Linked DNA regions of Caenorhabditis elegans. The protein of the gene in region 2 purifies or fractionates together with the protein of the main gene of each other region. This does not show direct contact. Each region holds a gene or a part of one and is shown on either strand. Other genes may lie near its edges. The genes, in order: wago-4 and mina-1.

Evidence for each region.
Region 1: the proteins of mina-1 (region 2) and wago-4 purify together in Caenorhabditis elegans (affinity purification with mass spectrometry, with the first as the bait; one study listed by BioGRID). This does not show direct contact.

The regions. Positions count from the first base shown.
Region 1 is NC_003280.10:12,916,658-12,924,897, reverse strand, and holds wago-4 (Argonaute protein wago-4), read right to left. Parts: upstream 5,348-8,240; 5' UTR 5,322-5,347; coding exon 5,166-5,321; intron 5,114-5,165; coding exon 4,923-5,113; intron 4,878-4,922; coding exon 4,709-4,877; intron 4,665-4,708; coding exon 4,259-4,664; intron 4,213-4,258; coding exon 3,486-4,212; intron 3,441-3,485; coding exon 3,265-3,440; intron 3,219-3,264; coding exon 3,050-3,218; intron 3,001-3,049; coding exon 2,826-3,000; intron 2,783-2,825; coding exon 2,537-2,782; intron 2,497-2,536; coding exon 2,132-2,496; intron 2,084-2,131; coding exon 1,966-2,083; 3' UTR 1,521-1,965; downstream 1-1,520. Other genes in the region: F58G1.2 (C2H2-type domain-containing protein), read left to right, coding at 5,918-5,954, 6,121-6,489, 7,077-7,513. UniProt on the Caenorhabditis elegans protein: Argonaute protein which is involved in the endogenous small interfering RNA (endo-siRNA) pathway and is required for RNA-mediated gene silencing (RNAi) in the germline.
Region 2 is NC_003279.8:9,515,521-9,521,613, forward strand, and holds mina-1 (Messenger RNA-binding inhibitor of apoptosis 1), read right to left. Parts: upstream 3,217-6,093; 5' UTR 3,178-3,216; coding exon 3,105-3,177; intron 3,054-3,104; coding exon 2,885-3,053; intron 2,838-2,884; coding exon 2,705-2,837; intron 2,665-2,704; coding exon 2,514-2,664; intron 2,471-2,513; coding exon 2,403-2,470; intron 2,358-2,402; coding exon 2,160-2,357; intron 2,112-2,159; coding exon 1,722-2,111; 3' UTR 1,506-1,721; downstream 1-1,505. Other genes in the region: tspo-1 (TspO/MBR family protein), read right to left, coding at 1-54, 102-203, 255-319, 1,178-1,256; set-32 (SET domain-containing protein), read left to right, coding at 3,738-3,839, 3,887-4,194, 4,241-4,481, 4,595-4,726, 4,775-5,320, 5,401-5,520, 5,566-5,670. UniProt on the Caenorhabditis elegans protein: RNA-binding protein which binds to its own mRNA and target mRNAs to negatively regulate gene expression to modulate apoptosis and differentiation in the germline.

The DNA.
Region 1 (8,240 bases), on a different chromosome or scaffold from region 2:
CGGGAAGCAATCATCAATCTCTTTTTGAAAACACCATTTTTTATGCATTCACGCGGCAATTAGAGAACATACCATAGCAGAAGTATCGAATAGTGGATTTTCATTGTCTTTCCAAGATCCAAGAGAAACGAACTCAACTGAAGATCGATTGATCCCACAAGCAACGTCAACACTATCAAAAAAAATCGTGGAATTCGCTGATGAAATCTCTGAGTGATTTTTGTTGATCAAATGCACATCGTTGAACTTCATTTGTGTGATCGCTTTCCAGGAACAAATGCCAAGTCGTTCACTCCATTTCCAATTTTCAGAACTGTTCCAATTTGCGATTGACACACATCGACCCAAAAGTCTCGATCATTGGGCGCATTTGGGCTTTTTCGAATGCAATACTTCCCTGGGTTGCTCGTGAATCCAACATAAGCTGTGTTTGCATTGGACCATCTGATGAGAAAATTTCCATTTTACTTATATACAAACTGTATTATTTACTTACAAAGAGCTACGAGATCCCCTCATAGAATTTAAAATATTATATTGAGCTCTTTGAGCTTCACGACCGCCGAGCATAATGCTCTTCACAAATTCACGAACCTGAACATCAATTATCATTCTGCAAATTAATTATCTCATCGACTAACTTGACATTATAAGCAGGTTTTGGATAGTTGTTTGTACTCGAAATAGGCTCCGTTATTGTGTCCCTTGTATTGATGATCTTTTCCGTAGTTGTGTGAGTCTCGCTTCTCAACAGTACCCCACCCTTCTTTCTGAAAATATAATATTCACTCAATTTTGTACTTGTATTTACAACGCCGCGAAACTCACTTCTTTTTTTTCAAAACACAATCACATGTTTGTAGAAAATTTAATTTCCGAAATAAACTTTTTATATTTTCCACACTGCCCTAGAACGGGGTTTACGTGACAATCCCTCCCTCTTCTTATCATTAGAGCTAAGTATCACTATTATAATTGCATGCCAAGCAGGGATGCAAATTTCTTGTTTCTTGATTTCTTGCATTTCTTGCTTCCATTTCTTGCAATATTTTTTTGCAAGAAAAGTGCAAGAAATTTTTTTTTGATTTTCAGGTTTATTTCGAGAAAAATCAGTACAAGATGGAGGAAGTTCTATGGAAATATAAAAATTTTATATAGGATTTTGGATAAAAAACGTTTAGAAAGCTGGAAAAATGTTTCAAATCGTTAAAAATTGGACATGGAAATTTGACAAATCGTAGAAATTTGGAAATTGCAATAATTTCATAGTTTTCGGCTGAAACTTACTTCCAGGAGTCGCCTATTAGGTTAAATCGTATTTATAATCGACTACTTTAACCTATATCTTAACATTTGAAAAAAGTTTAACTGTTTTCCATGTCTTGAAATTTCTTTCATTTTTTGCGCTTTTTCTTGCAATGTTTTATGCAAATTTCTTGTTTCTTGCAAAAAAAAATTTCTTGAACATCCCTGATGCCAAGCCGACCCGGAAAATTCAAAAATAGAACAAAAACCAATTTCGACGGCTATCAACTTTTATTAAGTTTTCAGTGCCTATATTAGTATTCAAAACTAAATTCTCGAAACATCTTCTGATGTTTCGAGAAGTTAGTACAAGAAAACAAATGAAAAAAAAAAAGAAAAAGGCCACAGAGCACACTTGTCAGCGTAATTTCAACGAGAAAAGAAATTGCGATGACAAGTTGCTGAAAAAAGGAAATATTTGACAAGGGAAGTGAATAACAGGGGACAATATAAGTATGATATAACAAGAATGGGCAATATTAATACATTGGGAAAACTATGCGGTTATAAACGTGGTGTAAGAGTAACAATGTGAAATGGTACAGGTGGGAAAGGGTTATTAGTTGTTCAAAAACAATTGCAATAGGGACAAGGAAATAATGGAACAGCAGGGAAGGGTTGAGGTGGTTAAAGAAACAAAGTTTGCCTTGTTGAAAGTGATCATGCGTTGACACGACGACCCGTGAGATCTCCGGACGCTTTGTAGCAGATGCTCTTGGTCAACTCCTTGAGACGATCTGCTTCCGGGCCAGAAACAGTTGGAACGTTGTTCAAGGCCCTGAAAACAAAAACATTTTTCCAAAGAATCCGCTAATGCAAAACTTACACTGCCTCGTTCCACAGATTGCGTCCTCTCTTGGCGTACTCGTTGGCGACGTACAATGGAGTTGGAAGCGACGTCGGAAGTCCAACGATCTGGTGAAGATGGCACAGCTTGTACGTGATATCCTCCAAAGCTGTCATGCTGACTTTGGCGTCATCGGCGAGAACTGTGTACAATGGAGTCTTCGCAGTTCCTTGCAGAGTGATGTGGGAATTCAGGAAAAACTGCTTGCAAGCCGGATTTGTCACGATGGAATCGACCAAAATACCGGGTGCAATATTCAGATCCCATGCTTTTGGGGCGGCTGGCATTGCAGAATGCCTGCTTGCGGTGCTGGAAGTCGCTTGTGGACGGGAAGCTAGACTTGCCTGAAAATATACAAAGTTATTTTGATGCAAAACTACTAACCAAATCGGGCTTGAAGAATCTGAAGCTGTGATCCTTTGACACCACAATGTATACAAGTTGAATATCAGGTGAGAAATCTCTCATAGCAGCACGAGCAAGAGGAATCTCGTAGGCCATGATTGATCCATGATTTCCCTCGCTTGTTCCTGTTCGGTAGACAATGACGCGTCTCGGAAGACCGCCATCATGAAACTTCTGGTATTCGTTGAGCGAGTGCATCACAATATCCTCAATCGGCGCAAGAGTCTGAAATCAAATCGGATGAGAATATTCTTAAATGGAAACTCACATCTTGGCTGGCAGAGTTTAACACGAAGTCTCCACTGAACTCCTGATTGTGCTGTGCATTGTACGCATAGCCGATGACATTGGGGTTTAGAACTCCTTTGTTCTCCATGGCATACTTGGTTCCAGCAGGTGGGGCGGAAATCCCAACTCCGATGATCAGATGAGAGTCGAGCTGCCTGAAGGAATAATAAATGAATATAAATTTCGCAAAAAAAAATCTGGTACTTCTTGGCGTCCACGAAAACATAGTTGGAACCTCCCAACTTCACATTGGTCTTGTTGATCACGTTCTCGAGAGTTAGCCTCTTTCCTGCATTGATAACACTCAACGCCTTGGATAGCTTCATGTCTTGAACGATCATCTTCGTATCCTTCTCAATCATTTTGTAACGCTCTGAAAGACGGAAATATGGACAAATATAATAAACAATGTAACATACGATGGAGTGTAGTGATTGAATCATCCGTTATGATGAAAACGAATGTGCAATTGGCTTTCGTTGCGTCGTACAGACGACTCTCGATGGCATCCATATGGATGAGCGAAATGTCAGCAGGAGCAGGCATGTTGACACCTTTTGACTTGCACATAGCCGCGAACTCATCTGCGAATTTCCTGAAACGAAAAAAATGAGATATGAAACTATATTGCCAGTCTTACTTCAGAGTATCCAAAGTTATGCGAGTTGATGCGGTACCGACAACATACATCGCCCACACATTCGGCGCCGTGGCTGGTCGAGTGAAGCGGTTGGCACGCCACTTGTTGTCCTTGACATTGATTGGATTGGCTCCAATTTCAGCGTTTGCCAACTTCACCGCAGGAATTGAGCGTCCTTTGACCATGAGCGGATCTTCGCACACCGAGACGCCCATTTTACCGAGAACCTCGTTGTCCGATGAGATTTGCGCCGCATTTTTTCCCGTCAAGATCAGACGCTGGCGAACGTCAGGTAAAACAGCACTTTCCTTCGTTGTCTTCTGACTCTGGGCACTGGTTAGCTGCGGGATCTGAACGCGTTGATGAGAGCTGATCTTCAACAATTCCATCGGGTAGAAGTTTATATTTCCTCTCTCCTTGGAAACGATGAGATTTGTGTCTGGATAGCGAAGAGTGATGTTGTATACGTCTTCGAAATATTGAGCTACAGTGCAGCTTCCACCGTCGTTGAGCTCGAAACGAGCATTTCGAGCCCCTTCGTGATGGATTCCCTCGATCTTGTGATGACGTTCACGACCGCCATATGTAGAATAGCAGTCGAGCCCTTTGATGACGGCTGCGCAGCGGTCCTTTTCGAGTCCCTTCAGGCCGTGTTCCACAGGCTGCGTAGTTATCTCCTTCAGTTTGTCGAGAATTGGCTGATTCTTATGGAAAGCGACCTTCATCCCTGAAAAACAAGAAATAACTATGATATTACTATTTTGAATACCAACCGTCAATGACAACTGATGGATTACTCCGTCCTCTGCCGTAGGGTCCTTCGATGAAGTTGATCGTCTTCTTGAGTCCTGGTACAACTTGCTTCCCATCCCCAACGTCCACAACGTCGCATTTCTCGAATCCTTCACCGAGTGGATCAATGAAAAACATTTTTCCATGATCGAAAACAACGTATCTCGCAGTGTTGCGAAGACATGGTTGAGTGAGAGCGAGTTCCAGGATCTGTTGGTAAGCCAAGCTGACAGAATCGAGGTTTGAGTCCGTTGCTCGTCTTGCTACGGCTTCTCGTGTGAACTTGACCGCTGGGTTTTTAGTCGGGAACACCTCCAGCTTAATACACGGCAACGATTTGAGATCCTTATGATCCATTTCTCCGCCATCAAGCTGCATGTACTTGGTCTGAAATATTCGGAATAACATTGGCCGAGATTTAATTTATTTACCTTTACTGCGCCTTCTCTGAACCCTTGGAAAAGATCCACGTTTGAGAACAGAATGCTTTGACCATCGTAGATGAGGCAGCTATCAGACGTTTTGAAGAACTCCTCATAGTCACCCAGCGCGCGGAACAGAATCGCACAGCACTTGTCGTGTCTCTCAGTAACGACGAAGCTGGAACATATTATGAGAAAAATATAAATCATGTGGTAAACTCACTCATCCTTCCCCTTCTTAGTGAAGGTAACTTCTTTCCCGTTTTTCAGCTCCGTCGTGATGTTCACGCTGTACTGATAGAACAACGAATCCTGGTGCATCTCGATTCCGAATACGTTGGTCTGTATTTCGGCCTCGACGCCACACTTTCCTGGTTCAGTAGGTGTTGGATAGAGCTTTGCAGCAGGAGCAATCTGAAATTTAACAAATTAGGTTTGAAAAAAAAATCAATTAAACTAAACGTACATTAAGCTCTTCCAGTCTCTTGATGCAAGCGTCGTTAGACGTTTGATACTCCGATCTTAACGGTTGAGTCGGAACTGGAACTGGTGGAACGGCAGGTGGTGCGTGGACGCTCGATGGAGCTCCAGAAGGCGTGTAGACTGGAGGAAGAGCTGGCATCCTTCTCGATTTTGTAACTATTACCTGTAAATTTAAAATTCAAGACGAAATAAGACTTAACGTATAGAAAAATGCGAAAAAAGCAACAAAAATACAACACAAAAACACAAAACGAGCATCAAAAACAAACATTTCCGCGAAAAAACGCGAAAAGAAAAAACGAAATTGAAAATCGCGGTCATCCTAAAATTCTGGGTTACTGTAGGTGACTTTCGCTGCGAGACCCGAGCACAACGACACTCCGCCTTAACGCAATGCGCCTTGTTTACCGTAAATCCACCCGAACAATTTATTTTTTCGAAGAGAACCTTTATTGAATTTTGCTTTTCTTTTTATAATTAAAACTCTAGAATTAAACAAAAATAGCTATTTTTAAGAGAAAAATTAAAAAAGTGCACTTGCGCTCTATTTTGCACTTCAAATACCCTCTTCATCAGGAGTCACATGAGATTGTTGCATTATTTCGAAATGTTCATATTTCTTCGTTTCGCCTCTATTTTTCCAGACCCGTGTTCAATTTCGTTATTTGAAATCTTAAAATTTCCTTCAATAATGCAATTAATTACAGGAACAATCAGGACAAGCAACGAGAAACAATGAAGGCGCCGGAGATTGTCGATCGTGAAGATTCACGTAATCATTATATTTTTTTCTATTGTTAACCTAATAAAAAAACAAAAATAACGAAATTTTGTTAACTTGATTTCTATATTTGGTTCCAAGAAACCTAGTTATTATCACTATTTGATATTTATTTCTCTTGTATTATTCTCTTCTAATGATTTCTTGATAGATGCAGTCTCGGAAGATGATCATGCGGAACATAGGGATTGCCAAGACGAAAAGGAACAGCAGATTATTGCATCATTCAACGCTCAGGATGCTCAACAGATTCGTCGTATTCAAGAGCACTTCCTTCAAGAATGCATGAAAAAGGAAACAGTAGCTGAAGCCAACGATTCTGGAAGAAATGACGTGTGTTGCCCACGAAAAAAGCTCACCGGAGTCGGCGAGCTTCTTGCGAGCCTCAGAAATCCGCCGAAAATTCATAAAGAACGAATCATTCTCGGCGGGGATGGAAGACCAATCAAAAAGCTTCGCGAAAACCGAGCTGCACTGAATTTCATCGATCCATCTGCCGAACTTGACAAGTGTATAGTTCGACAAAGTAAGGATTTCAGAAATTTGTCATTTAAAGGTGGAGTAGACTCGAAATTGTCTGAAAACACCGATTTATATAATGAAACTTGAAAACTTCCCAAAAACAAGTTATGACGGCTCAAAAAATGGCCTAAAAGTAGTTAAAACTTAAAATTTTACTTGTCAGCGCTGTCAGCTGGAAACAATTTTTGTTTTTGAAATCACCGTCAAATTTTGGGTATAAAATGTAATTATCTTGCGTTTTCAACACGATTTCGGTATTTTAAAGTCGATGGACCGCGAGATTTGGTTTAAAAAAATTTAAAAATCTCGCCGTTCATCGACTTTAAAATACCTAAATCAGAGTTAAAAACGAAAGATAATTACATAAAATACTCAAAATTTGACGGTGATTTCAAAAATATTAGTTTCCAGCTGGCAGCGCTGACAAGTCAAATTTCAAATTTTAACTAATTTTAGGCCAGTTTTTGAGCCGTCATAACTTTTTTTTGAGAAGTTTTCAAGAAGTTTCATCATGAAATTCGGTATTTTTAGGCAATTTTGAGTCCAATTTTGAACCAATATTTGGAAAAAAAGAAAATTTATAATTTTCAGAGCAGCAAGACTTTTGTGCTCCGGATCTCAACATGGTTCCTGCGTCCTCACTGAGCATCGATGAAATTCGAAATGCCGTCCGTAAAAGCATGTTCCGATGCAAAGTCTGCAAAAATCGTTTCGGTGAGATGAGCCTTCTCGAGCGACATCTCAGAGATTCCCACCCGAAAGCCTACATTGCATTTTTGGAAAATCAACGTGAAATGGCTGATTATATGGGTGAACTGGAGAGAGAGCGTAACCGAATCGAAGAGCTTGTGAGTGGCGGATTCATTCCTCCAGAGTCGGAAATTGAGGCGACATCGAACAATCTGGAAGTGGACTCGATCCCGTTGCCGGGTGAGAACAGTCAAGGACACATCCCACGACTGAATCGTTACGGAGGTCTCATGTACCCAATGGATGCGCTTAGAAAGAAATTTCCATATCTTAAGAAGGTAATAAACACGATGTCCTGGAGTGTTCATAATTACTGGAACGACACCTCACAAACTCCTGAATTCGTGGGAGCTCGATTAGCTGGGACAGCAGTTTTTGGCTATTGTTGGCCTATATAGAAACTCTTTCCGAATTTTTTTGATTCATAATTTTGTTGAGAGGAATCATACGAGTTGAAAATGTGTAAAATTATGAAATTTGGCCCAAAACTGAAGATTTTACAGAAAGGAGTCACTACAGTTTTTTAAAAAATGTATTAGAATCGTCAGTTTTTCGATTTCAGGTTCGAAAAATATGCCATTTTGTAGAGAAAAATCTGTTTGAAATTCTAATTCTTTAAAGGTGGAGTAGCGTCAGTGGGGAAATTGCTGTAAAACATGCCTATGGTACCACAATGACCGAATATCATGATAAAAAATTATTCTAAATTTTATATGATTTTTTGAAAATCGAAAAAATCTCAGTTTTTGCCTAATTCCTATTTAAATTACCGCCAATTGGATTTGTTCGATGGAGCGCGCTTGCACGTTTTTTAATTAATTTATTTTATTTTTTGTTATTTTCCACCGATTTTTAATGTTCTCGGTGTAATTTTGCTTGAATTTTAGAGAAAAAGTCAAAATAAAAGCTAATTTTCGATTGAAAAGCACGCTTACAGGCGTAAAAATGACAAAGTAACGATTTTGAACGATTTCGAACCTGAATTAATTAATTTCAATGATCTAC
Region 2 (6,093 bases):
GACAGCGGAATAGACTCGAACGTCTTTTGGAGCCCAATTTGGCTTTTTCAATGCCTGAAACAATAAATTATAACATAAATTATGAACACATTTAAACTGACCGCCCACCAATCAGCAACTTGCTGATCTTTGGCAAATGATGCAAAGGCAGCCACCGCGGCTCCAGCTGGAATCAACGACGAGATGATCGCATTACGAGTGTCCTGAAATAAACAACTTCAAAAAATTAACACGCAGTTTTGTCTAGAAATTACCTGAGTGGTCCAGAATGGCATTTTTTCGTAAGCAGCAAGACGACAGTGCTCCTTGTCAATAAACTCTGTAAGAAAAAATTGGTTTGCGAAACGGGAGTTAAAACGAGGTGCACACAAAAGTAAACGAAAACAGGGAAACGAGAGGTTATTCACGTTATCTCTGCGAATCCACACAAACTGGGCGAACAGTTGTATTTTGCATCATTTTTTTAGATTATAATTCTCTTCACACTGATTCAGTGACAGTCCGTCTGATAAATAAACTGGAAAACAAGAAGAAAAGGTCATCGAAATTCAGGCATTGGTGGTGGTTGGTGGCCGATTGTTCTCATCGGTCATTTAAAATGGCAGAGGCAGTAGGAAAAGAACAACAAAATTTTACGAGAGAGCGTACAGAGCGAGGAGTGTGTTAGACAGAAGGACATTGAAGAGAAAGCCAAACGAGTAAACATGCTGTTGCGGATCGATTTTGAAAAGGGAGGCTCGCGATTTCATTTTCAAGGAGAACCAAAATCTTGTGCTCTCGTCAACTTAAGAGTTGGTGCACGAGTTTTGAAAAAAACATGGATGGATATATAGTCATTAATGAAAAATAAATAAAATGACAGTTCGTCCAAAAAATAATTGTTTTAAATGTTTCTGAAACGGAAACATCAAACTTGAAGATAGTCTGAATGATCACAGCGAACACTACTGACATTCTAACGCCAATAAGTTATATCAATTGGAAAATATAAGTTTTTGCTAGTTCTAAATGCTATTGACAGTTGCGAATAGCGCGTGTGAGGACGAATGTTTGGCGGTCAGGCGGGCGGTCACAACAAAAATTGAGAAGGGATCAGTGAGTAGAAGAATGTACATGCTTTGCAGTTTAGAACGGACAATAAAGAACATAGAATATAAAATCTACAGACGCATAAAACCTTTAAATACTTCTCCAGTTTCCGAATGGATATTTGACCAGCTTTTCTCGAATTCACCGCGATGTTCTTGACAAGTCATTTTTCAAATGAATTATAGAAGTAGAATGATATTTAGAAAATATATTTTAAGAAGTCTGGCAAAACTATGAAAACGATCAGGCTTCACTAGAGATGAGAATGATACTGGAGAAGTAAACACTACGAAGGACGCCGAACAGAAAAATAACAAGATTGTTGTTCTGAGAGAAATTGTTACGATTGAAAAAAATACTTGTTGTTAAAAAACAATTTTCGATACAGACATTAATGTCGACATTCCTTGAAGTTTAAGAAGAAGAAGTTTTTATTAATAACACACAACGAACAAGGCAATCAGCATTTTACACAAAGCATCACAGGATTAATCTAGAAAACAAAATACATGAGCAAGCAAAAGGAACTAATAAATGAAATGAAACAGAGTTTGGCATCCACATGAAAAATGATATCAGAAGAAAAATAGGGTGCATGATATAGAGGGGACAAGGAACGAATATCACAGGTATTAATCAGACGGGGAAAGTTTACGTGGTGTCAATGCAAGCATCACCTTTGGCTGATCACGGAAACTGCCGCGATGATATTGTCTCGAATTACCACGCTTCTCGGGAGTTGTTGAAGAACTATCTGAAGTGAATGGAGATCCAGGCGTACTGAACCCAGAATCGGGAGGATTTGAAGCAGGTTTGTCCTGGTGTGATTGCATGAGGGACATAACTGCATTGCGTGCTTCCTGACATTGTTCTTTGTTCTGAGCCACGATTTCTACCGGTGTAGCTCCGAATGAAGACTGGACTTCAGTGTGAACGGTAATAACGCAATTGAATTGTCTCTCGATATGCTTTTTCACTGCAGCACGATTTCCTAATATTTTTCCTACTTCCGTGGTTGGAATCTGAAACGATAAAATGTAAAAATACTTTAAAATTGACATTAATCGTACCCATTGCTTGATTTTTTCGACAACGCATGTTTTTGGTGGGGTTAAAGGAAGCTCTTGCACTGGAGAAAGCCTTGGAGGTGGAACCGAAAAATCCGATGGGAAAAGGAGGTGCTTCTCTAGGCTTGCGGAAAGAAGAGGTTCATCCATAATAGACGTCGTCGGCGGTGTCGATGTCAATATCGCGTTCGGCTCGCCCATCTGTAGAAAATAATATTAGATGTCATCTGAAACGTTATTTTCTACCGGAAACACTGAGTTCAGAAAGCTATTTGGTGGGAGGTGTGTTCGAATTTCCGGATTGTACGAATTTGCTAGAACAAAATGAGTATTAGAAGTGTGAAAATTTCAACGAACTGTAGCCCATTCGTGTGGTTCGTTGTGTAGGCGGAATATTCATTTCCAGAAGACCGAAATGTTCTGTCAAACATTCTATCATCATCTCTCTCGCTTTATTGACAGCTTGCTCAGTTCCGAACATTGTTACCTTGCCAGTGAACTGGTCAATCTGAAAAATAAAATCAGCACAGTAGTTTTAACAAGCTCACGATAATATCAGTGCAGCGGGATCTCCGTTGCAAATCAGAAGAGAAGAAGAGAACAACAGCACAGTATGCCCGTGGTAGAAGAGTATGACAAATGTGTGTACAAGATGCATTGAGGGCAGCCTCTCGTATCATACTGAAACAGGTAATTCTAAATCGTTGAGTTCAGCAGAAATTACTAACATTTGAACATCTCTCTTTCGCCATACGTCCCGTAAGATTTTTTCAATTTGATTTATGTCCACTGCGACACCATCAGCACTGCTGATCACAGAGAGATGATCGTTGATTACAACTATGGAGCATTGAAACTGTCCTTCAAGAGCTGCAACCAGAGCGCATCCTTGAGGTTCTGAAAATGATATAATACATGGTTGTTAATGTTTACAAAGCTATTCCCAACCTGCCATGAATGCCTTCATTTTTTGGGGAATATAAAGTTCTTGAGGAACAGGGTACGGCGTTGAGTCGTCCATTTTCTTTTAAAATATCGATTTAAGAAGAAGAAAAGTGCTGAAAATGTATCTTTAGAGACGATAGGAATCATAGGCCTAAAATCATACGCGCCGGTTAGAAGTTAAAGTGAGTAAGGGGATTATTTAATTTTAATTAAAAATAAAATTTATAAATTCGTGTGAACGATTAATTATGCAACACGAAACCTCTTTTTTAATCCACAGTTGAAGAAAAATAGAAAAATTCGAAAAGAAAATCTTAAAAGCAATTAAAGGAACAGGGAATATCTTCACGAGGTCTCACAACGCAAATTACCGTACTTCAAAAATTCAAACTTTTTTGAAAATAGTGTTTTTTGTTGATTGAATTTTTGTTTTTCTGAACTTGCATCCGGCCGGAACGTTAATTTCAAACGATTTCGGGTTCTGTTATAAAATAAAAGTCTAATTTTGTTCATAAGTTTTTACATGTGAACTAAGTTATTTTTGTCAACTCCGCCTATTTTAATTATTTTCGTATTCAAACATTCAGGTTTGAGTGCTATGCTTCTAAATGTTGTCTTTCAGATTCTTGATATAAGATGTCATCGAAATCGAAGTCACGAACGAAGAAAAAGCTTCGTCAACACAGTTCAAGAGGCCCAATCACTGAAATGCTCGCATCAAACATGTGTATCTTTGAGGTTTGCGTAAACTTACGTTTTCTCCTTTTTAACACTTTTATTTAAAGGCACCTCCATTCAAAGCGGAGCAGGATTTCCCGATATATCTTGCCGCCGGCTACGAAGAACGAAGAACGTTTCTCAAAGAATCTGCTTGTCTTGTGGAAACGAAACCAGACGTAGAAAATTACAGCCAGTCGCATGTTAAAGTTCTGAATAAAATCCGAAACGATCCACATCTTAATGGAAACTGGAAACTGCTCCCCAAATATGATGAGGATGTGAAAGGCACAATGATGCGAATATTGGGACAACGAGCAATGATTTCACAAGGAAGGGAACATGAAATTTCCACATGTCCGGATTCCGGCCAAGAGTGAGGAATTAATTTAATTATATTATTTTAATACATTTCTTTTCAGTGTTCCATTGCTTTCGCCGACTTATATTACTCCAAGGAAAAGAATTCGAGTAACAGAGAATCTCACTTTCAACACCTTAGATATCGTTCCTGTCTATTCTGATCTACCAGATGAAAAATTGACTTCAATTCAAATTCCCGATACTCTTCTCTTCGAATATACAGACACGAATGTTTTGAACCCGTGCTCCGCAAGAAACATTGCGAAAGCATGTATTATGTCTCAAAAGGAAGAGAATACGGTACTTTATTCTTCTTTCTTTCCCTGAAGATTATTTCTAGTCAATTGTTCAGTTATTTTATGTATTGCTAAATTTAGTTTTTCTTCAAGGTAACAACTTATTTTCTTTTTCAGATTCGTTGTGATTGTTGCTCATCGAATCCAATTGTACCATGCTACGAAAACGAAAACTGCCCGTGCTATAAATTAAACCAAAAACTGCAAGGATTACAAATAAATAGTTCCAGTCACCCTCCTACCAAATTCGTAAGTCCTTCCGTAAGAATATGAAAAAATTTTTAATAAGAAGTTCAGGCGTCGTTTGATCCAGTAATGTTCTCCAATTCGAATAGTACATTCGATAGATGTATTGGATTCTCCTGCTCTGAAGCGTGTGGCTGCAAAGGAAACTGCACCAATAACAGTTTATTAATTCTTAACAAAAAACTGTTTCCGCTCGAGATCTATCGAAGCAATGAAAACGTTGGATTTGGATTACGTTCATCTGTTCTGATTCCAGCTGGCACGGCAGTATTGGAATTTACTGGAGAAATAGTTGAGCGTAATCAACTAGATCGTGACAGTCAAGATTATGCTTATCAGCTCACAGATAAAGACAATTCGAACTGGAGGCGTCTTTTGGATACAATGAAATTCTCTGATGACTATAAAAAGTTTTTGAAGAAGTTGAGCTACGAAGAATTTTTCATTGATCCAAAAGCCAAAGGAAACGTTGGACGAATGATTTGTCATAGCTGTTCGCCGAATTTAGAAATCGTTCGTGTCTACCAGAAAGGTCTTTCACCAGCTCACGTACATCTCGTTTTCATTTCGCTGTTAAACATTTATCCAGGAACACCGGTAAGCTATTTTATAAGTCTTGATTTGGAAATTTTATACCACTATCAATCTAGCTCATAAAGTTTGTTTTTACATTTCAGCTTACAATGGACTACGGATACAACTACATGAAAAATCATCTCAATGGAAAATGCGAGTGCGGAAGTTTTGCATGTTTGAACAGAAAAAGCTCCTGTCATACAAATATGTCATTCGGAGATGTAAGTATTTTTAAATTTGCAATTTTAATATAACATTTGTTTCAGTTCGCAGCTTATTATCGCAAATTGGACCATCAACAGTGGGAAAGTTGGCACAAGAACATCTGCGAACCTCTTTCATGCAACGACGATGTAGTTGTTTTAGATTAAGTGTTTTTGAAGTTTTACCGTTTTTTTTTCTTATTTTTTACTGATTTTCTTTTTTTCGTAAATAATAAACCTTTATAAAATCTTGAATAACGTATTACGCGAATTAGATTAAATCACATTATTCAACCAACTATACGAACCCATTCGAAACGTTTTTTTTGCTAATTTCAATAAAATTGGAGTTCATATCCATATAAACCTCCGAAAAAAAGTGCCAAACGACTTTCAATCAACTCTGCCGGAGACTTCATTTGGCGGAGCAACGAATCGGACGACTCGGGCCCGCCCATCAAAGCTCCGCCCATTTGCAAATGGCTACCAAATTAGGGTGACCTCCTCCAATCTCAATATTCTCCTTTTTCTTTTGTTTTGATAATTTTGATTATAACTGCATTGAAGACCTATATATATATATTGGAAGTG